Alligator mississippiensis: one gene and its partners. The protein of the gene in region 1 purifies or fractionates together with the protein of each later gene. This does not show direct contact. Links are inferred from orthologs where the notes say so. Each region holds a gene or a part of one and is shown in the gene's direction. Other genes may lie near its edges.

What was found. The genes of interacting proteins can lie anywhere in the genome.
Region 2: the proteins of RAF1 (region 1) and CDC25A purify together in Homo sapiens (affinity purification with western blotting; 3 studies listed by BioGRID and IntAct, with this or other methods). This does not show direct contact. The link is inferred for Alligator mississippiensis from reciprocal best matches to the Homo sapiens genes RAF1 and CDC25A.
Region 3: the proteins of RAF1 (region 1) and BAG2 purify together in Homo sapiens (co-immunoprecipitation; 3 studies listed by BioGRID and IntAct, with this or other methods). This does not show direct contact. The link is inferred for Alligator mississippiensis from reciprocal best matches to the Homo sapiens genes RAF1 and BAG2.

What each region holds. Positions count from the first base shown.
Region 1 is NC_081835.1:30,639,789-30,647,723, forward strand, and holds the start of RAF1 (RAF proto-oncogene serine/threonine-protein kinase), read left to right. Parts: upstream 1-4,850; 5' UTR 4,851-5,005; intron 5,006-7,935. UniProt on the Homo sapiens protein: Serine/threonine-protein kinase that acts as a regulatory link between the membrane-associated Ras GTPases and the MAPK/ERK cascade, and this critical regulatory link functions as a switch determining cell fate decisions including proliferation, differentiation, apoptosis, survival and oncogenic transformation.
Region 2 is NC_081828.1:218,038,103-218,045,903, reverse strand, and holds the start of CDC25A (M-phase inducer phosphatase 1), read left to right. Parts: upstream 1-4,780; coding exon 4,781-4,836; intron 4,837-5,049; coding exon 5,050-5,370; intron 5,371-6,353; coding exon 6,354-6,439; intron 6,440-7,801. Other genes in the region: E3 ubiquitin-protein ligase TRIM39, read left to right, coding at 16-527. UniProt on the Homo sapiens protein: Tyrosine protein phosphatase which functions as a dosage-dependent inducer of mitotic progression. Directly dephosphorylates CDK1 and stimulates its kinase activity. Also dephosphorylates CDK2 in complex with cyclin-E, in vitro.
Region 3 is NC_081824.1:51,387,132-51,394,312, forward strand, and holds the start of BAG2 (BAG family molecular chaperone regulator 2), read left to right. Parts: upstream 1-4,160; 5' UTR 4,161-4,280; coding exon 4,281-4,399; intron 4,400-7,181. UniProt on the Homo sapiens protein: Co-chaperone for HSP70 and HSC70 chaperone proteins. Acts as a nucleotide-exchange factor (NEF) promoting the release of ADP from the HSP70 and HSC70 proteins thereby triggering client/substrate protein release.

The sequences.
Region 1 (7,935 bases):
ATGTGACATAGAGTGCCTTCATTAACTTCTGTTAGTGCACACCTGGAGCAGGGCTGGGCTGATTTTTCAGTGCAGTAATGCAACTGATCATGGAGAAGCTGTCAGGAGCCCCAGGGAGAGTTCCCATTTCTTTGTGAAAGGCAGGGCACCCTGGAATGGGTTCGCCCCGAGAGAGGGGCCCAAGCCTTGGAAAGTGTCGTGGTTCTGGCAGTGTCCAATGAGCCCTCGCTGGTCCTTGAAAATCGGGGGGAGAAGGTGTAAATCTCGCACTGAGCCGTACCCATATCCACAGCAGGTCTCCAAGGTGAACAGCCTCTGGCATGTTAGAACAACCCATGCATTTCAATGGCTGATTTTTAGATTGTAGGATCCTTAGGAAAATAAACTGCCCTCCTCTATGTTGTATCTAAACAGTTACACTCTATTTAATAAAATAGTGAAAGCCTAAGATCTATCTACAGTATTTGATTGTAAAGATGTTGCACATAACTGGGAATAATAAAAGATAAAGCCTCACCAATTCCCTTCTGTGCCCCCATGATGAACTTATAGGCAGCCACAAGGTCGCCTCTCAACCTTCTCTTGCGGAGGCTGAAGGAGCCCAGGTGCCCTCGTCTCTCCTCATAGGGCTTGGCCTGCAAGCCCTTAACCATACGAGTGGCCCTTCTCTGGACCCTCTCCAGGTTATCCACATCCCTCCTGAAGCGCGGCGCCCAAAACTGCACGCAGTATTCCAACTGCGGTCTGACCAGAGCCCGATAGAGGGGAAGTATCACTTCCTTGGTTCTGTTCGTCATGCATCTGCTGATACACGATAAAGTGCCATTAGCTTTCCTGATGACTTCGTCACACTGACGACTCATGTTCATCTTGGAATCCACTAGGACCCCAAGATCCCTTTCCGCTTCCGTGCCTCCAAGCAGGTCATTTCCTAGGCAGTAGGTATGCTGGACATTTCTCCTCCCTAGGTGCAGCACTTTGCATTTCTCCTTGTTGAATTGCATTCTGTTGTTTTCCGCCCATATGTCCAACCTGTCCAGGTCTGCTTGTAGCTATTCCCTGCCCTCCAGCGTGTCCACTTCCCCCCACAGTTTTGTGTCATCTGCAAACTTGGACAGAGTACATTTCACTCCCTCGTCCAAGTCGCTGATGAAGACGTTGAAGAGTATCGGTCCAAGAACCGAGCCCTGCGGGACCCCACTGCCCACACCCTTCCAGGTCGATACCAACCCATCCACTATGACTCTCTGGGTATGACCCTCTAGCCAATTCGCCACCCACCGGACTGTGTAGTCATCCAAGTCACAGCCTCTTAACTTGTTCACCAGTATGGGGTGGGATACCGTATCGAAGGCCTTCCTGAAGTCTAAGTAAACGATGTCAACCCCTACTCCTGCATCCAGGTGTTTTGTAACCTGGTCATAAAACGAGACTAGATTAGTCAGGCATGATCTACCTGCTACGAACCCATGCTGGTTTCCCCTCAGCATAATTTTTCCTGCCGGGCTCTTGCAAATGTGAGCCTTGATAATTTTTTCAAAGACTTTGCCTAGGATGGAGGTGAGATTGACTGGCCTATAGTTGCCTGGGTCCTCATTCCTCCCCTTCTTGAAAATGGGGACCACATTGGCCCTTTTCCAGTCCTCTGGAACCTGGCCCGTGCGCCACGAGTGTTCAAATATTCCCGCCAGTGGCTGCGCAATGATGTCAGCCACTGCCTTCAGTACCCTCGGATGGAGCTTATCGGGCCCTGACGACTTGAACGCATCCAGTTCCTCCAAGTGCCTCTGCACCATCTCAGGGTCTATGCTTGGTAGTCTGGCATCCTGCTGCTGCCTCTCTACAATCCCAGTGAGAGCCTTGTCTTGCCCCTCGCTTAGGAACACTGAGGCAAAGAACTCATTGAGGAGTTCAGCCTTGTCCCCCCTGTCCATCATTAATTGCTTATGCCCATTTAGTAGAGGTCCTATTCCACCCTGGGCCTTCCTTTTACTCCCTATATATCTAAAGAACAATTTTTTGTTATCCTTAACTTGGGATGCCATCCTCAGCTCCATGGTAGCTTTGGCCTGTCTAACTGCCTCCCTACAAGCGCGAGCAGAGGAGGTATGCTCCTGTTTAGTAATCTCTCCCCATTTCCACCTTTTAGATGCCCCCCTTTGGATTTGTTAATACAAAAAGAATATAAAAAGGGTACAAATAGCCATGCTAGTGCAATTTTTCTTATTCAGTAATAGTTCTCTTGAATAGCTGCTTGGTTTTAATATTTTGATTTGTTCAAGTTGTCCTTGCAACCCTCTTTACCTTGGAGTTTTTTGTACCTAGTTTCACAGATACTGTATATTAAACATGGCAGAGGTGAGGCACACCTCTGTAAAGGTAATCTATTTTTAAACTAAGTAGTAAGATAATTTTGACTTAAGTACTAAGTTTCATGGAAGCTTTGTGAGAGGCAAAGGTCTTTGTGGGTAGTATCTTTCATTGGACTAACTATGTAGTCAGGAGGGACACAGACAAGCTTTTGGGTACTATGTACCATTCCTCAGGTCTCTAAGAAAAAAGCAGACAGCACAGCTAAATAGCAGATAATGCATGTTTAATATTTGTTACTAGTGGTACCTTTTGTTTTTGCCTTATGTATTCCTTGTTCATTCTTAGGCCTGTTAATTGATTTTATGTAGAAAAATTATAAATAAAAGTTACATAATTTGTTAAGAACAATGTTTTGCAAGTAATACTTTCCATGTGGGGAGCTCAAAGCAATTTACAAACTAAGTCTTGCAATGCTAATCAAATGAACTGAGGCATGGAGAAGTATAATACCAAGCTCTTATAGACAATAGATCTCAAAGCATTTTATGAAAGTGGTCAGTATATCTTATTCCCTTTTAACAGATGGGGAAGCTGACATACCAAAAGATGAAGTGACTTGCCCAGGATTACTTAACAGATCAGTGGCAGAGACAGGAATAACCCAGCTACCCTTAGTTTCATTCTAATTACTGACCACACTGTTTCTCATAGCAGCACAGAATGTTTCAGACAGACATCACACAATCTTGACATATATCTGAACTAATAACAGTATGAGTTATGCACGTATCAGATGAGAAATTCTGTATTGTACTGTAAACCCAAGCAAACACGAACATGAAATAAACTAGAAGTTACTAGCATTCATTCTGGATTGATTTATCTCAGAAAGTTACTTTGTTCTATTTCCTTGTTCCTTGTTTCTTATGTCTTGAAAAGGCTCTATTTCTTTACAGTATTATTTCACTGTTTAGCAGCCTAAAATTTGATTTACTTTCTTCCCTAACTCTATTAATTTGTTCAATCACTATGGTTTCATCTCACTTTCATAGCTTTAATCTTCTCTTTGTTGGAAATTTAAAAATGAATTAGCAGTCTGACACCAATAGTATTCTCCTTCCCTGAAATCACTTACCCTTTCTTCTTTTTTTTTTTTCCATGTTGTCATAATTTTACTTGCATTTTACATTTCCTTATTTAAAGTGAACTGTATATACTCTGGCAAAACCTTCCTCACAGACAGAATTGCAGCTAGTGTTATACAGACATACCTAGTTTTAAGTTGTTTAAGCATTCATTATATAATGTTTGTTTCTCTGGGCCGCATTTTACAGTCAGATATGTGCGTATAGCTCCTCTTAAGGCCATATGGCTTGTATACATGGATCTGAATCCAGAACTGGACCCATTTGGTTTAAAAACAGCATTTTAACAAAAAATACTGATTAAAAACTTTGGAGTACAACTCACATTTATAAATATCAGTTTTTGTTGTTGTTTATAATGATGTTGTTTATAAATGTGAACTGTTCTTCAGGTCTATTAAATGTAACTTTTGGTAAAATTGTGTGTTTACACCTAATGGCCTCAGTTTTGGCTTCAAATGCACATCTACAAGTCACAAGGGCTTAGGGAAGCTGACTGTGCATATCTGACTGCCAAATTTTCCGTGTGTTTGTCAGCATCTTGCAGCTGGTGACACCACATTGGTTTAATTTGTAGTTTGTCTTTTCTTTTATAGAACTAGGACTGTGGCAATTGTAAAGGGAGAATTGTACTTGTCTAAATGTGAAAGCTTTGCCAGTTATTCAGGTACACTATAACACTGGATGGACAATTTTGTTCCAGCAAGAGATCCTTTTTTGGTCTGATTTAAACCTTTTCCAAACCGATGTGAGCTAAACTAAGAAAAGGCCTTATGCTGACAGAAACGAGTTCACACACAGACGTGCAAGCAGAATTTAAACACGCTTTAGCTTGTATTGCTGTAAGCTTCAGGCGTAGATGTGCCCAAAATGAGTCCGGGGAAAAAAATCTCCCAGATACCCTAGCGTCAACCAGCTACCAATTAACTTAGTAGAGGTTGCCCCACCCATAGGCACAGCTAGGATTTTGAGAAGTGGGGTGGCAGATGCTGCAGAGGTGGATACAACCCACTGCTCCTTCCCCAGGGTGGATCCAGGAGAGACGCGAGGGGGTGCGGCCACGGACGGGCGCCCCTGCCGGGTAGCACGGGACCCTGCGGGGCGCCCTGAGCTCGGCGCTGCCTTCACTCCTCCCTCCTCTAGCCTGGGGGTGAAGGATGACTGGAAGGGAAGTGGGGAGGTCCCCGGGGCGGAGGTGCCCAAACCCCCGCCGGCTCCAGTCCCGCGCCTGCCCAGCTCCCGAAAGGCGGCCGCGCAACTGGGCAGGGCTGGCGGGTGCGCGCCATCGATGGCTCGGCGTTCCGCGGGGGGAGGGGGAGAGGAGCCCTGCGGAGCGCGGAGCGCATCGATGGGCCCCGATAAATGTCTGGCTCGGATTGAGGTCGCCATTTTAGATGGAGACCGGGGCGGGCGCCGAGTGAGGAGCGGGCGGAGGAGCGGCGGCGGCGGCGGCTGCGGCCGGGGGCAGTGAGCGCGGCCGGGGGTGGGGAGCTCCCTGCCCCCGGCTGGCGGGATCCCCCAGCCCCCGCTGGCCGGAGCCCCCGGAGGTGCGTGTGCGTATGCGCGCGGGGCGCGGCCGGAGCCCCTGGCGGCGGGTCCCTGCCGGGCACGGCCGCGGGGCGGGAGGGGGCCCGGCTCGGGTGGGGACGGCAGCGGGCCGGACCTCGCCTAGCCGCGGGGCCGGGCGCCTCTGTCTGGAGCGTCTCGCTAGCGTGGTTGCCTCTCGCTGAAGCCGGCGGCTCGGCTCGGCTCGCCTCGGCTTGGCCGGCCCGTTGTCCTTGGCCGGGCTCTTGCCGTCAGCTTAGCTCTGCGCCACGGAGCGAGGCTGTCTGTGGAGCAGGACCGTGGGTCGTGCCGTTGCGCAGAGCCCTGCCGACTCAAGGGCCCGCTGTCCACAAGTTTGATATGCCTCTAGTTAAAGCAGCGTTTCGCAAGGGTTGCAACCCAAAAGTGGGTCGCAGGAATACATGAAAGGGTCGCAAATAATCATGGAAGAACATAGAAAATCACAGATCTTCTTCGTTTAAAGGAGAAAAATGTGGGAAACCGCAGCTATCTCCTTGCAGGCTGGCAGGGGGCTCGCTACTTGAACCATTTACTGGGTGGTGACTGGCCATGATGTTTACAAATGAGTCCTCATACAAACAAGGTTGAGAACCACTGAGTTAAAGCATTCTCTTGCCTAACGTCTGTCGCCCATCAAGTTCTCAGGGACTCCTGCCTGGTCCCACCTTCTTCCTCAGTAGCTTTTGAGCAGTACCCAAACAGTGTAAGGGTCCCCCAGTTCAAGTTGCCCGAGCGTGTGTCTTGGAGGCACTCAGAAGCGTGCAGAGAAGAAGAATGTACTTTGCTCTCCTCCTTGCATGGTCTGATGGCTAAAAAATGTCTTGAGAGAACCTTTGTAAAAGGCTATTTTAATTCCTTTATTTTGGAAAGCCTGCAAATGTCTAATGGATTCATAGAACTGAACAGATACCAGTTGAATAATTGCTAGAGAGATAAATATGCTCACTTAGGGCTTGATGGCAGAAAAAAGTATATACGAATTAATTATTGGTATGACTTTTCAAGTTGCTTGGTTATGTTGGTTAAGTCTCTACCTCTCCTTCAGAACTGAAGTGAATGTAGTTTATCTTAACAAATTCAGTGTCTTTGTGTAAGCAGGCCATAGAAGATACTGTTTGTCCTTAAACTGACACATTTGTAAATTCTTCAACTGTTTCATGAACAAACCTGAACTGTTGTACAGTTTGTGGTGGTTACATGGAATAGCTAAGACTGTTGTCATGTCTTGCTCAAATTGGGACAGTGATGCTGGCTACATCTGAAGTACACAATTCATGCAGTTGATGTCTTCAGCACTAGACACTTTATTGTGCAGGAGAAGTAATTGACCCAACTGAAAGAGGAAATGCTGAAAGTACTGGGAAGAAAATGTGCACTGTTTTTTTCCACCTAAAAACGCATTCCTTTTTATCCACCTTTTATTTATCTATTTATTATATGCTTTTTTTTTCTCTTTTGAAAAATGAGCCTGTTGAGTTTAAATTTAGAAACTATGGCATTCTATCTTAAAGTCTACATATGCCGTAGTGGCGCACTGATAAAGGTTTTCTTGGCTGATACTGGTAGTCTATTATTAACCAACTGTGTCGGCCGCTCCGATAACTGATTCACTTTAAGATGCAACACATTTTGACGTACTGACACAATTTTTTTTGGCATGTTCCAGCATCACATGCATTAATGTCCTGGTGCTTAAAAATAGTGGTGCGCTGATGCATCAATCCATATTGTATTGGCACCAATAAGAGGTAAAATTGACATTATTGCCAATTTTTTGGGGGGGCTGATATGGCAGATAATGTCACTGATAAATGCCATGTGCATATGCGCAGCTGCAGCACGCGCTCAGCCAGCTCGGCAGTGTAACAAAGGGCTCTCTCTGGCCCGGTCCCCCATCAGTCTGCCCACCTGTTTGGGGCTAACCACCTGCCACACTTTCCTGCCATGCCTTGTTGTTTTATAATTGGTTCTTATCAGGTGGAAAGCTGCCCATTCTTGCCCTGATGCCAGGGAGTGCTCTCTGCAGCTCTGATCCTTCCCTACACTGCAGCCCAAACCTTGCAGATGGCATCCAGGTGACATACTCCCAGTCTACAGCCAGACCAAGCTTAGCCCTCATTGTCAGGCCTCATACATGCGCCCATACCTCATCTCACTTAGGGCCTTTCATGCTCCACCCCCTGTCAGGGTCTCTTTCACGCATCAAGAACTTATACTGCCTTGCTCCCTTTTAGAGCGGGTGCATTTGGCCATAGGTTTTATCTAGCACACACCTTGGGTGGCAGACATCACACACACCGGGCTCCACATCTTCTACCCCCTCACTGGGGCTTCCCTCCTTGGTGGGAGCTCAGGTGGCTATAGCCATGCATGGCCCCAGCTGCTACCCACAGTGATGTGGGGGCTAGAGTTATTGAGGCACCCCAGCCTACTTTCTACTGGGGTGGTATCTGGTCTGGTATTTTTGTGGAGGCTCCCACACTGCTGGGAGCCCCACCAGGCCACTCATTCTCAGCAGGGTGCAGTTTTAGGTCATGGCCAGGACCAAGAGCCTTCTGCAGATATTCTCATACAGCAGCTCAGCCAAGCAACATTTCTGCCTGGGCTGCCAGCAGCAATCTGCTCAGTTTATATAAGCAGCCAGTGTCTCAAAATGGCTGCTGAAATCAAGCACCTGCTGGCTGTTTGGCTTAGCCTTTAAAGTGGCAGGCACCAACAGTGCCTTGCCACAGGAAGCGTGCAGAGTAGCATCTTGCTGATAAGTCTGTTGGGGAGGGAAAAGTTGGGGGGGGGGGGCAACCCATCCCCAGGAAGAGTCTGATGCTGGCCCCAGCCCACCGCAGCAGCCTGCCCTTACCCCCACGCACGGGGGGGGGGGGGCACGTGCCCCCCATGGCTCCTCCAGGGGTGC
Region 2 (7,801 bases), on another chromosome or scaffold:
TGCGTCCATCCTTAGCCAACGTCACTCTAGACCCAGACACAGCATATCCCTTCCTTGCGCTGTCGGAGGATGGGAAAAGCATGAGGCTCGGACAGAAGCAGTCGGACATCCCTGACAACCCCAAGAGGTTCACTTCCAGCCCCAGCGTCCTGGGCACCGAGGGATTCGCAGCAGGGAGGCACTATTGGGAGGTGGAGGTAGGCGACGGGAACTCCTGGGCTGTGGGGGTTGCCACCGAGTCCGTGAAGAGGAAAGGGCAGCAAGATCTTATAACAGGAGGGGTCTGGGCCCTGCGGCGTGGCTGGAACGATCAGTACACAGCTCTCACTTTCCCCCCAACCTTGGTCTTGCTGGAGGAGAAGCCCAGGATGATCAGAGTCCACTTGGACTACGAAGAGGGGCAGGTGACCTTCTACAACGCAGAGAACATGGTGCAAATCTACCAATTCACTGCCACTTTCCACGAGAAAATCTTCCCTTACTTTTGGCTCTGGTCGCCCAACTCCCAGCTCCGGCTGCGTCCCTAAAGGGTATCACTGTTCTCAGAGCATCTTGCAGAAGTAGTCCTGGACGCTTCATCGGAGCCAGAGAGACGGGGTCTATAGGATTGCACACTCGGGGATGCTCTGCATCTGTTTCACAACAAACCACACAAACTCCCTGCCTACCCCTGGATCATCCCCACCCAGTGCTGCGAAGCCCCTCGAGAGCGCTCCATACTCCACGTTTGAATGGGTAAGGGGAGGGCATCATAGCACTCTGCAGGGGCACAGGAAGGAGGAAAAGCCACCTGAGACACAGGTGGCTTCAGTAAAAGAAGCATGGGAGGAAGTTTGGGGCATAAATACTGAATAGGAACGCCATTCTGAGAGGAGCCTGGTGGCTCGAAGACCTGGGGTTTGGTTGCTGGCTTGAATCGTGACTTGAATTAAGATTGTTCATCTCTGGGGCAGCCGATGCGGCATCTTTCCTAGACCCCAAATTCGTAGCAATTTTGACCGCCCTCTCCTTCCTTGTTTGTGCTTTCCTACTGGCTTGAAGCAGTAACCAATAGTAAACGGTGTTCATAGGCTGGTTTCTTCCTCAAAAGCTTTTGAGCAAATCAAGCTAAGTGTTCCTGTGTCCTTGCAATGACATGGGTCTGCGACATCCGCCAAGGGGTTGGGCGCCAGTCGGTGCAGCTGTGATGCATCGAGATTTCCGTATGGGTATTTCATGTTAAAGTACCATCTAGCGGCAGGTATGGGGAAGGTCCCCGGGAACCTTGCAGGCTCTGGCTTCCTGCTCCAGAAATTTGGATTTTACCATCGGAAATTCTGCTGCCGTCCTCCTCCGTTTCGGTGCTAAGACAAGCTTTTAATTTCAGCTGGAAAGCAAACGCCTGTTTCTCTAGCCTCTCATCCCTCTGCTCCTGGGATCTAGGGGCTGTCACCAGGGAGCATTTTGGTGGAAAGCCCTTGGCAGAGCGATGGCAGCATATCAATGCCCCTGGGAGACTGAGTCAGACCTGCAGGGAACGGCCACCAACCCAACATTAGCAGCTCTGGCAAATCCTGGTCACTTGGGAGAAGTCTCTTATTCCAGATGCATTCACAGACCACTTCCACGCCTCTTCCTGCAGCCATGTGAAACCGGTCCCAGGCAAGCTGCCATCGCAGGAGGAAACGGCCCATCCTAAAGCTTTGGCTTGGGGGATGCTGTCCCTGTGTAGCACCTTCCTTTTCACCTTTTAAAGACACGCATGCGTGTTCATGTGATAACGGTACTGGAAGGGGGGGAAAGGAATTATCAAGAAGGGAGGGAATTGAACCCAGATGTTGTGACAGTTCAGGGAGGAGGCTGAGAAATGCACAAATGCATTTTCCTCTCTTGGAGGCCTGCACATGTCTCGCATGAGCAGGGAGGCTACAGAGCCGCACACAGCACCTCTGCCAGGGACCGCGCTTCCTTTCCGCTCGGCAGCTCTTCTCGCAGGCAGGTGAAAGCGTGCCGCAGCACGCCGCTGTGCAAGGATGCTCGGTGGACTGCTCGTTCTGATGGCTAACGAGAGAGAACAAGTAAACCAGACCTGGGGGTGCGGGGGGAACTACAAAAAATAAACCAGAGCGGTGAGCTGCAGGCGCCTGGTGACTCTCGCCAACTGGAAGATGCTAAAGAGCCAATGAGTTAAATATGATCTGCAAAGGGGGGGAAATGAGCTTTTGGCTTTTTTTCCCCTTTGGATGCATAAGAAAGCCATGGAACATTATTTTCACAATAGAGGACTGCATTACTAGTAGGGTTACTATGAGACAAAAGCCTGAAAACTGAGCAGCTGAGAGGGGAAGAAAGGCTTAATCAGACTATTTGGATTCTTTTGGGGTTTCTCTGTTAGCCCCAAGCTTTGCTTTTTGCATGTTGCTGCTTTTCTTTTAGCTGTTCATTGCTGATAGATAAGTGGTGTCACATGAAAGCAATAGCCGGGCTCCCCTTGTCCACGCGTACACAATGCATGGATTAGGGATCATGAGCTGCTCTCTGGCTCAGCCAGAACGGCCTCAAATCATACTCTAAGTCAGTGTCTGTGGTGCGGGTACCACCAGTGGTACACGTTGGCAGATTTATTAGAATTATATGACAAAAAATTAATGGTTGTACTTCAGGCCAAGCTGAAAAAATTGCTGGTGGTACTTAATGCTGTATCATTTTAAACTGCAGTTTGGGAACCACTTCTCCAAGGAGGTTTCTGCCCGGGGTTGGGATAGTGTCCCAAGGGACATTTGGAGCGTGGTCAAGATTGCTGAGCCTCCCTTGGCACAGGGGCCATCTATCCATTACCCTCCAACCTTGTATATTGGGATCGCAGCTCTGCATGATAAAGAAGTGTTACTTAGCGCCTGTTTAAGTCAAACACCTGGAAAACAATAGGGAGAAAAAGGTTTAGGGATGAATGATTCACCCACCTCAATCATAACCTTTCAAATGCAAACTGAAGAAACCCCTGCCAGGTGCTTATTCTAGTTCTCTAGGAATACAAGGCTAACTAACCCCAGCATTTCTTCGGTTAAAAAAAACATCTAGAAAAACAAAATAAGAGATAAATTTAAGGTCTAATCCTACACTAAGGTGACTTTTTGGCTGAATGGAGCCCCATTGAACCCCAGTGCGGAAGAGTCCCAAGAGTGCCGCCCCATTGCTTTCCATTCATGTTCGCACTGATCCTTTCATCTACAGCAACGGTTCCCAAACTCTGACGGGTTGCGCACCACCAGTTTAAAATGATACAACCTTACGTGCCACTAGCACATTTTTCAGTTCAACCTTAAGTACCGCCAGGAAAGTTTTGTCATATAAAGTAGTTGTAATAAATCAGTGAATGCGTACACTGACAGGTTGTGGTGGTACGCGTACCGCTGATCTACAGCATTACTGGAGCCGAGGGGTCGGAGCAGCATTTCCCAATCCCACGGTCCTAACCAGTGGAATACACAAGGGGCCGTGTCATTGAGGGTGTGATTGGTGTCTTTGTGTAATTGCTGTCAGTTGTGTGATTGCTGTCTTCTAACACTCAAGACCTATCTGCAGCATTGACCTAAACATCCCGCTCAGTGACACAAGGATGTGCAGTGGTCTTTCTCTACACTGTGCACACACACGTACACACACAACATTGGTAATGAAACCCGTGACGCTCCCCGCCGCGGCCGCCTGGAACTGACATTTTGTGCAACGCCTTTTTATTTTGAGCTATCAGCCACCTTTTACCAAAGCCTTCACACAAAAGCGGTGCCGCATCCAAAGCAGACGACCCTCGTTGATCTTGCAAAGCTCTCACTTGGATCAGAAATGACAGGAAGGATGTGGAAGGGAGGGAAGGGTGGGGATCATGGGTTGGGGGGTGGTTGGCTTTGTCATCAGTATGTGTGATTTGTGAAATAAAGTACATCTTTTCCATCCCCAAATCGGGGTATAAACTTTTCTTCTGTCGTGTATAGTGATAATGTAATGGTTTGGGGCTTGTGTTGGGCACCAATAGGGCCAGGAAGGAATTCTTCTCCCTATTACAGGATTCTGGTTTTCTTTTGTTTCGTCTTCCTCTGATGCGCTGGGTGCGGGTCACAGCTACGGCTGGCGATGCTGACTGGCCCCTATATAGGAAGCCCAGATGCTCCTAGATGGAAGGTCCTGAATGCTCATCCTCTCGGGGGCCGCGCCAATCTCCAAATCTGGGGTCAGGAAATAAGTTTTCCTCGAGTCAAACTGTCAAAGGCTGCAAGGGGGTTTTGCTTTCCCACGGAGCATGGCTGGCTGGCCTTTTCTCTGATCGTGAGCAAACACTAGCCCAGTCCTTCCCTGGCATTGCAGCGACAGGGCGCCGTGTTTCCCACGACACGTTGTAGGGTGTCGCTCATCCCCACCACCCCGCGGGGCAGCAAGGTGCCTGGCAGCAGAGATGCGAGGCAGCTAGGGTGGTTTGCTGTCTTCATCCCATGCCTCCAGGAGCTGGGGCTTGACAGGAAAGCACGGAGCACCGAGAGGCTCGTCCTAAGCTAGCGAGGCCGGCCTGGACACTGCGGGAATGGCTGCCATGTGTGCACCTCATGGCTGTGTGAGGCTGGACCAGGACCTGGGGGCCAAGCTGGGTCTCTAGAGCAGCCTCATGCCCCACAATGAAGCTGGGTGAAGGGACTTGCGGACTACAAGTCCCAGCATGCAATGCGCCCGGCGGCCCAGCTTCCCCTTTGGGCCAAGAGGAGCATTGCATGCTGGGACTTCCAGTCTTGTTGGCGCTTGCGCCAGCATGGGGTTGCATGCTGTTGGCTTGCTCACGAGAAAAGCCGCCGACGAGCCCATCGAGCAAGCTTAGTGGTCGGGTCTGCTGTCAAACAACCCTGGGCGAGGGAGGAGACAGGGCTAGGCTCGTTTCCATTGGCCGCACACGAGCCTCCTTGTCTGTTCTATTGGTCAGCACTGAGGAGGCCTGTTAACCTCTCAGGGACAGGCTTGGGGGGATTGGCTGCCGGCAAGGCGAAGCGCCGCGTGCTATTGGTCACTCTTTCCGTCGCTCAGCGCGACAGCTGGGCCGGGCGAGAAAGGGAAACGAGACTGGCGCCAGGTGGGCGGGCTGAAATTGGGTGCCGCCGCTGCTGATTGGTCGGCGCGCTTTGGCGCCAGCTTCGGAGCGGGGGGGCGGCGGAGCGGGAGAGCGCGCGCGCGCCGGCTGCGCTCAGGGACGGGGGCCGCGGGGGGTCAAAGCTCCCCTGCGCTGACAGCTGCGCTCAGCGCGCCCGCCGCCATGGAGCCCCCCGCCGCCGCCGTCAAGGCCCTGTTCCCCGCAGAGCTCTCCCCGGTCACCGGCCTCGGCTTCGCCCTGGGCCGCCTCGGACGAAGGTGAGACCCCTCAGAACCCCCCTTACACAAGCCTGCCCTTCCCCCACCCCTCAAACCCCCCTTTACACAGGCCTGCCCTTCCCCCACCCCTCAAACCCCCCTTTACACAGGCCTGCCCTTCCCCCCCACCCCTGAGGTGACCCCCACATCCCCTGGTCTCCCCTAAACCGAGGCGAGTGGCTGGGTTTGGCCGCCGGCCACCATCCGACTTTCTCACGGGTCTCGTCCCAAAATCGATTCCAGCGATCGCACCCGTTGCAGGGAGCGTCGTCGTCTTCCAGGATTTCGAACCGTGCCGATTTTGACTTAATCTGCACCGTTCTGGTAGGGCCGAGACGGGCGGAAGGAAAACTGAGATTCTCTTTAGAAAGTGTCTGATTCTCGCTTGGGAAGGCGCAGGTGGGGACCCGAGACGCTCCAAAGCCGGAAAGCAAAGAGCGCGCTTTCAGTCGCGGCGGTTGTGAGCCCCCGTTCGTGGTTGTAGAGCTTGGTGGGTTTTCGCACGAGCAGTGCCTCTGTGGAAATACACGTGAGAACACGCGGGGGTTTATTTCCTGAGCGGCACGGGGTCCAGGCCAGTGGCGGGGAGTGTGATGGAGCCACTAAGTACGCTGTCCTTACAGCGACTATTCAAGACTGCTGGGTCCTGGAGCCGTGACCACGTCGTTCATTAAACCAGCGGTTCTCAATGCTTTTTAGACTTGAGGTCCTCCAAATCTAATGGGTGTCCCCGCATTAGACTCGAGGCCCTCCTCAAAAAACACCGGCTCCCTGCTCTCCCTCACGTCGCTCGTGAAATGATACCAGAGCAATTTTTCTGTTGCAAAGAACTCGAAAAGCTCGCAACGGGTCGACATGTTTTCTGATCCCTACTTGAAGCTTGGGTTTATCTTGTAAATTGCACGCGGTTTATTTGTCGTCTCTCCTTTTTCTTAATGAAAACCATTCAATAAAATAACTCACTTATTTTGGGATCTTTGTAGCCAATTTGAAAACTCTGAGCAGATGCTGGAAATGAAGAACGGTAACAACCTACAAAGAATGGCCTCGTCAGAATCTACGGACTCAGGTTAGATTGCTTTAATCGCAAATAAAAGCTTGGGAATGAACAAGTGGCATCCTCTTGTTTGCTTGATGTCTGTAATGGGCAAACTTAAAGTTTTAAAAGTCCAGGCTAATGCTGCACGCTCTCGGATAGCTAATCACGTTAGTCTGAAGTCAGGCAGAAGATGGTGCGGAGTAGCACGAAACCAACTGATTCAGAGGCACGACCCGTTATAGGCACCAACGTACTGTGTCAGGTGCTATGAATGCAGTGCCAGAAAGCAAGGGTTTTATATAGAAGGGAGCAAGGAGAGGAGCTGCTGCTAAGAGAGGTAAGAAGTAGATTGACTGGGTGAATTAAAATGCAGTTAACTGCCTTGTTCATCTTAAATTGATCTAATCGAACCACTTATTACTAAGTCTCTTGGCAGCTGTTTCTTCCCTCTGTTCCCTTCTGTATAAAAGCTCTTCTTTCTGTCAGCTGAACAGCTTGCTGTCAGAGATGCCTCAAGCCTTCAGAACTTAGTTAAGCATCAGCTGAGGCTTTAAATCACGGTTTTGTGGTCAGTGTCTGTGCAGGTGCTAATAAGGGAGGATCATTTGTGTCCAAAGCCAACTTCTCCTATACCTCCTGGTGGCGCCACATGCTGGTTGTCCCCCTAACTGCTGAGCTTGCCCTCTGGGGTTAGTTGTGTGTTAGTGATGCCATCTTTGTCTAGACTAGCAGGGATGTGGCTGGTGTGCTACATACAAAGCTCCATGCCCTCCCTCCCCAAGTGCAGTTCTGATCTCCTTCTCCTGCCTGACCTGCTGCTCTGCTTTCTGTTCCCTCCCTGATCTATCATATGCCATGCACATGGGCTGCCTGTGCCACTAGTGTCCACCCCTGGTCTAGCCCTTGGAAAGTCCTGAGTGGGGGAAAGGTGCTACCTTTGTTGCTTACAATTGCTTAATGCTTTCCTAATCCTAAAGACCTGAGCATCAGGGATTAAAGACCACCTTTTTCCTTAGATGTGTTCCCCCTTTCATGTGCAGCCTGATAAAACTTGCATAAAGACAGCAAAGCGGAGTGAGATAACAGGAGGGTGCAACATGGAGACGTGAAGAGGCAGCTTGCTTCTGTCCACTTGTTTAAAACAATTCTTCCAGAGTCCCTTGAGGATATCCTGTAAGCTCCAGCAAAGCTGCTTCATTGTTCTCCTTTAAATACTTCCTTAAGACTCCTTTCGTTATCATGCCTCCAAAGAGCAGTGATTAGGCAATGGCCCGAACATGCCAGAAGCCTACATTGCTGACCAATTTTTCTTTGTATTTGCTCATCAAGGTGAGGTGGATGGGTGTGGAGTGCCATTGTGCATAACGATGGGTAGACATCACATCACACCCA
Region 3 (7,181 bases), on another chromosome or scaffold:
AAGTCGCAACATTTTCTTTCATAGAAGGAAAGTTTCCCTGCTATTCTCTCTCCTTCTTAGAAATAGCAACAATAATAATTTCAGGTGTGGGGACAGAGAGTTGTAACACTGTTTTTCTACAATAACTCTTTGGATGGAAAAGCGCAATATCTTAACTATTTGGGCCCTCTGCAAGGAGAGAACTACATGCTGGTCCCTGCATGGCTGCTCTTCTTCCCCCCCCCCCCCCCCCCCCCCCCTTTTCTCCTGACACTATCTGACCTTTGTGCAAGGAGGTAAACACAGTAATAAATGTGTTTGTTTTTTTTAAATGGGATACCACTCAACTCACAAAAGTTATGGAGCAGAGTCTTTAGTTGATAAAGCTTAAGAACCACTGAACTGGACAAAGAAATAGAATTATTACAGAATAAATTACCACATTTTTCTTATATACAGCTGCTGGAACTTGAGGTGCATGTTTTAAGTGAGGAAAAATAGTAATAGCAGCTTCTGCTGCATAAGCCTCTGCTGTAGGAAAAAGGAAAGTAAGGCTGCACAGCAGGTGCTGCCAGCTAGGATCAGGAGCTCAGCCTACCTAGCAGGCACTGCTGCTGTGCCCCCAGCTCAACCAGCAGCCAGAAGTGACATGGAGGGAGAAGGAGGGATTGGGGGCAGCCTGAGGCTGGGGTGGGTGGGGGAAAGCATAATAGGAGGTAAGCATAGGTGGGGAGAGAGGTGGCAGGGAGCAAGCTGCCTTCCTCTTCCACTGCCTGCCCCATTACTACCCCTTTACCACCTTTCCCCACACCACCTGCAGTAGTGGGGGGAGATGAATTTAAGATGGTCCTCCAATAATTCAATTCCACACCTGGATAATTATAATAAATGTATACATTTTCTGTGTGTAGAATCTAATTATTGGGGGGGACAACCCCATTTTATATCAAGGGTTGTCTTGTGTTCAGGTAAATATGGTAATAAAGCATTTTACAGGATACATTTTTTACATTGTTTAATTCTTTACTCTTTATACACTATCCATTTAGAATAAATTATAGCCTGGATGGAATAAATGCATCTCAAAAAGAATACACAGTGGCAGATCCAGACTGAATGTGTCTGCTATCCCATTTCTGGGGATACAAGGTACCTGTTCTTCATGACTAAACAAAATAGAGCAAGTGCTACAAGGAAATTTGTTGCACAATCTAACAGGGCAGCCACTCAGAGAAGAAGGGCATTATAGTAAACTAGGCCAAGGCTGGCTGAGTGGTTTGGTTTTAAATCAAAAGCATTTGGGAAATGATGTCATTTTTAATGGACAAGCCTGAGAGAACACTTTGATTCATACTACTGTGAGCATGCATTAAGCATGGGCAACATCAGTTTCCCTGACTGAAAGGCAAAAGTTGATTGGTAAAGTGTGTCCAGCCTTCTTGGGAAGTGTGCTGGAAGTTAGGTCCAAAGTAGTGCTACTGTGATTATCAGCCACTGCTGTCATCCAGTGCCATCATTTGTCACCAGGATGTGGCAACACTGAATCAGGTGAGCCCAAACCCTTGAGCCAGCATTGGTCCCAGATTGCCACTCCAATCCCTTTCCCTTTCCAGAGTACCGCTCCAACTCAGTGCCCAGGGCATGTGCGCCAAACATAATGACTGCTAATGCCATAGGTTGGCCACCAGTGGGGTGGACAAAGTAGTATCCTTCCAAAGAAATTGGGGTTTTCAAACTCCTGTCGTCTCTGATCTAAAATGGATACAAAGGAATGGCAACTGGGCCCTGTATGTGACTTATTAGAACCATGTGTAATAGTGAGGTCAGAGGAGACTTACCTGTGTATGGTTGCTTCTTAAGTCAATTATTGTGTCTTACAAATAGCACACTCTTCTTAGATACTAGTAGGCGCTCCCTGACTCCTCCTTATTTCTGTTATAATTATCCTATAAGTGGAGGCAAGGTAGGGCTGTGTGGTGTTTTACACCAGTGGGTGTGTCTACATGTGGGCTTTAATGCAAATTAGCCTCTCCTAATGCACATTAAATCTCACAAAAAGTGCTCTTTAGCTAATGCACATCAAAATAGACTTAATGTGTATTACCTAAAGCAGTGTTTCTCAACCTGTGGGTCATGACCCAAAAGTGGGTTGCAAGAATATATGAAAAGGGCACAAACAAACTTTAAAAATTGATTCTCCTTTAAAGGAGAAAAATGTGGGAAACGGTGCTTTTCCCTTGCAGGCTGGTGGATCTCCTGCCTGCAAGGGGCTACCTAGAGCTCCCAAGGCCAAACACCCCCTGACACTGGGGGGCTGGGGCCTGGAGGCACCAGGTCAGGACTGGCCACTGATGCTTACAAATGAGTCCCAGTACAAAAAGGTTTAGAACCACTGAACCAACAGTGCATTAATGAATGCGTTGAACACTGATCTCCACCCTCTTTAAGTAAAAGATCACTTGAATTAAAAAACAATCCAAGATCTACTGTGCCTCCTCCCCCCCCCTCCCCCCCTGTTGCAGGTCAGTCTGTGTGGTGAAGGGGAAGGGAAAGGGTAAATCAAGGCGGAGGGAGAAAAAATTATTTGGGTTCTCAGGGTGCCCCCCTGAGCAGGTAAGTCTGTGGGAGAAGGGACAGGGGGAGTAGAAAGGGCTATGGGGGGAGGGGGGCAAATCAAGGCTCCAGCAGTGAAGGAGAGAGCAGGGCACAGGTAGGAGCAGGGGTGGAGTGAGTGGGGCCCCAGTCAGGCTGGGTGGTGGGACATCTGTGTGCAGTGAGGGTGGAAGCGACAGCCGCTGTATGCTGTGCTTTGAGCCCTGCCCCAAGCACCACACAACACCATGTGTGTCCTGCCACTGGGCTGGCAGGGAGCACAGCGCAGCTGCAGCAGGGAGCAAAGCCCAGTGTGCAGCGGCAGCCACCTCCACCCTGTTCATAGATGTGGTGGGTGGCATGTGCATGCACTCTCTCAGCACCCCCAACCTCAGATCAACTGGCAGATTGACCAGTCCAGCGTGATTGATGACTGGTTGATGACCACTGGTGTAGAAGGACCCAGTAACCAAGTGTTAATCCATCCTCTGTGAAGTAGATAAATTGTATGAATTACTTGCACCATAGCATAGGGGAACCCAGAAGATCAAGCAAAATGACAGCATTTCCAGCTGGAGGTACAGCTATTCCTGGATCGCCCCTGACCACACAACAGCTTCTCTAAGCATGGTAGTGTTACCAGGCCTCTTTCGTAATGTTACTATTAGCTGGCAACATGAAGCAGCCTTTATGATTAGAATTGGGAAGTCGCTTTATGTAAATAAAATGTCTGAGTCTGTTTGTTCCTGTAGCATGGTTTGAACTTCTTTCCATGCTAATTTTAAACATGTTGGCACACATTTTGCTCTTTTTTTTTTTTTTTTTTACATCTTTTTTTCTTTTATTGCATCTCCTTAAGCTGGTTGAAACTGCAGCTGTAGCTCACATTTTTAGCTGGGATTTACTTGCCTTCAGGACTCAAGCCGGACTTCAGTAAAACGATCATTTAAAATGGAGGTGGGAAAGGAAGACTTCCTGTACCAGTGGGCGGCTGGTGCAGCCCTGGTCCAAGGCCAGCCACAGGTACTGGGATAGGAGTGAAGGCCTTAGGGCAGCTCTTACCAGTGTGGTTGTAGCCTAAGGACACAAGCGGAGGAGGATTTTGGGGCAGATGTGATTTCTTTTATTAGACCAACTAAATCATTGGAAAAATTCTTTACAAGCTTTCCCGGATAAACACCCTTCCCCAGGCAGAGCAGGGTCTCGGTATGCCTGAAGGAGGGAGGATCTTTGTGCCCGAAAGCTTGCAAAGAACTATTTTTGCAACTATTTAGCTGATCTAATACGAAGTATTAATAGAGCTATCCAAAAAACCTCGTCTGCTTATGGCAGCTCTAGGCAGAGCTCACACGTCGGCGGACCCGGGATTGTGCTTGTTTCTCTCCGGGTTTCCGTCTGCGGAGAGCGGAGGAGACGCTGCAGTGCGGCAGGCTAGGGTTGCGGGCCGTCAGGCTCTGGCGCAGGGGCCGGGCTGCGGCGACGTGGCTTCAGGACGGGCTGTCCTGGCGGAACCCACCCGCGCCCCCAGGCACCAGCGCGGCTTCTCCTTCAGCCGCCGGGCGGCACCGCCCACGTGGCGGGCCGCTACATAGCAGCGGCCCCTGGGACTGGGCTGCGCTGCCCATGCCCGCCCCCCTGGCCGCGGGCGGAGCTCGGGGGTGGCGCATCGCCGGGCTCCGAGCGGTGGCGGCTCCGGGTGAGGCAACGCCATGGCCCAGGCAAAGATTAGCGCCAAGGCGGCCGAGCCCCGCGGCCGCTTCTACCGCTCCACATCTATGGCGGATCGCTCCGGCCGCCTGCTCGAGCGCCTCGACCAGCTGGAGCTCAGGTGCGGGCGGGGCGGGGCGGGGCGGGGAGGGCTCCTGCCGCCCGGCTCGGCTCGGCTCGGCTCGGCTCCAGCTCTAGCTCTCGCACTTAGTCCGCAGCTCTTTATTCAGGGCTCGGCTTTATGCATGAGATATTATTGTACATTTTAAAGAGTAAATATACGCTTTGGTCCTAATTCTCACTCTTCAGCTTAATTCACATTACTAACAGCCCTTAATTGTGGGCAGACTAGCTTTGTAAAAGGAAAGCAGGTCTCATCATGGCACTCTCCCCTTCTCGCGCTCCTACTTTGCAGCAGTGGGCACCTCTTCCCCGCCCATCCCCAAGCCTCCAGGCTTGGGCCTGCACATAGGATGCCCCCCAAAAGACTTTGGAAGTATCTGAAGCCCCTGGTGGGGGTGGAGGATGTTTGCCGGTTTAGGGCCGTTTACAGTTCTGGACTGACTCTTGGATTTGGACTCTATTTGGCTTGGAACATGAAAAATGTTTAAAAAATTGCCTCTTCCCTGTCTGGCATTACTTCTTGTCACTGCCAAACTTCACCCACCCTGGGGTCTTCCACCTGCACTTGCAAAACATCTTATTTCCATTTTGTCTGTGGAGAACCCCCCCCCCCCCCCCGAAAAACAAAACAACCCTCAACCCCCCCAAAATGACATACACATTTTCATTTCTACCTAGGAGAATGTTTACAGTCTTTACGATCTTCCGTGCCTGGTGATGGGTGCCTGTGCCCAGAAGCTTGCAAATAAAGAAGTTTTGTTGCAAATATCTAATAAAATGTATTACCTTTGCCACAAGTTTTGATTCCTTTTGCTTCTTGGTCAAGACAGCAACAATCTGGATACCTGATTGGAAAAAAAAAAAAAAAGTCCTCCATATTTTGGGTTGAATACAATTAACAATCACTAAATTTGGGGTTTTTTTAGACCTCTTTCAAACTCCGAATGGTAAATTTTGAAGTCACTTTTAGGTGGTCTTCCAATGTAAAAAAAAAATTTTTTTTTTCCAAAAGGAAAAGTTAAAATGTGTCATTAAAAAACCATCAAACCAGAATGTCATTTTAATTTATTTTTACTTTTTTCCCCTTTAAGCTAAAGCTGCACTTTTTGGTGCACAGACTGTTAAAAAAAAATTACCCAGCTGTAGTAAAGCAGCTTAAAAGAAGAGAAATCTCACCTTTCACACATTGTTTTAGTTACAGTAACTGAAATTGTGGGTTTGTAACTATAGTAAATGAAAACTTTTCATATATAAATAAGGTCTTTCAGTTGATTACATTCCTTGGCTATCACCACCCCTAAAAATACTGTGCTGTATATATAGTCTCAGCTTCTCCTTTGCTGCTCCCCAGATACAACTTTGACTACTACGTCCCAAGGGTTTGCTCTCGTAAGCTTGTCAGACTTGCTTGGGTCTGTGCATAGACATGCAGCCAGTGGATTTATAGAACTATATAGTTAATGCCTTGAAGAATTAAGTACTTCTTTTAGACAGTAACACCAATAATTTTTCTTTGATGAGGGGCTAGGATGGAAAGAGAGTAATGCGTGCCATATTAAGACTGAATACTTGTTGCATTGTGCTTGGGAGTGGAAACGTAGAAGGGTCCAAAGATGGAAGCTAGTAAACGGACATAGAAGGGAAAGAGAGAGGATCACCCTTTGAAACCGGGCTGTAGTGCAACAGTTGTTTAGATGTGCTGGCTTGGCCATTAGGGAATTGCTGCACAGAGAAAATTGGTGAAAAGGAGTACAGGTGGCCATTAACTTGGAATATTAGTTGTTTCTTTGAGCCTGAGTATCACCATAACTTTCAGTATTCTCCAAGAAATGTCAACTGCAATTGAGAACAGGTTGAAAGTGTCTATTTCTGGGCTGTATTTAAATTAATGCAGTGTTCTAAATTATATTTTACATATATAAAATCAGATGTACTTTTTTTTGTCCTGTCCATCACCCTCCTCCCCCCCCCCCCATGCCATCTTCTGTCTTCTTGACACTATAGAGGAGCTTTTTTGTTTATCTGTAATTTTATTAAGTAAATCAATTACCTGAGCAGAGAAACATGGCTTCTAAATTGTTCATGATATTCAACTGAAAAAGTGCTTCATTGTGTTTATCCTAGTTTCAAAAAAAGACCACATAGTAAAATGCACACAGTGACAGAACTGACAAAGAGCCGCTAACCAATTAAAAAATGTACCTCAAATTATATTGCATAAGCTTTAAATAGAAGTAATTTAAATGATTAAATGTGGTAGCATGGGGAGAGTTCTTAACAGCTCTCACAAAGAAACAAATACCAAGTTTCTCATCTGGTAACGACAGTGCAACCTGCATCTGTTGCACTGGGTTAAGCTGTGTTCTGGTAAGGAGTGTAGCACTAGAGGAGGATCCTGAATTTGCTTTTAATCACTCTTAGGCCAACTAAAATCAGAAATACAGAGAACAGTGTTTTCATGATATTCAAAATGATATATATATTGGAAGATAGAATGCAACCTGTTACCCTATTTTTTAGATATATAAGGAGTGCTATATCACTGTGGTATCAAGAAAATTTTCTTTAAGTACTTCATTTGGATATTTGGGTTTCTTTTTGTCTCCTTGTTTTCAAGCTGCTAAGGGTACACAAGTCACATTTTCAAGCTTTTTCTCTGCAACTGTTTAAAAATTGAAAACCAAGATCCTCATCTAATCTCATGATTCCAAGAGATGTGGGTTTAAGAAGAGCTCTCCCAAGATTTGTGTCTAAAAACTATAAGAGTTGATAATGGTATA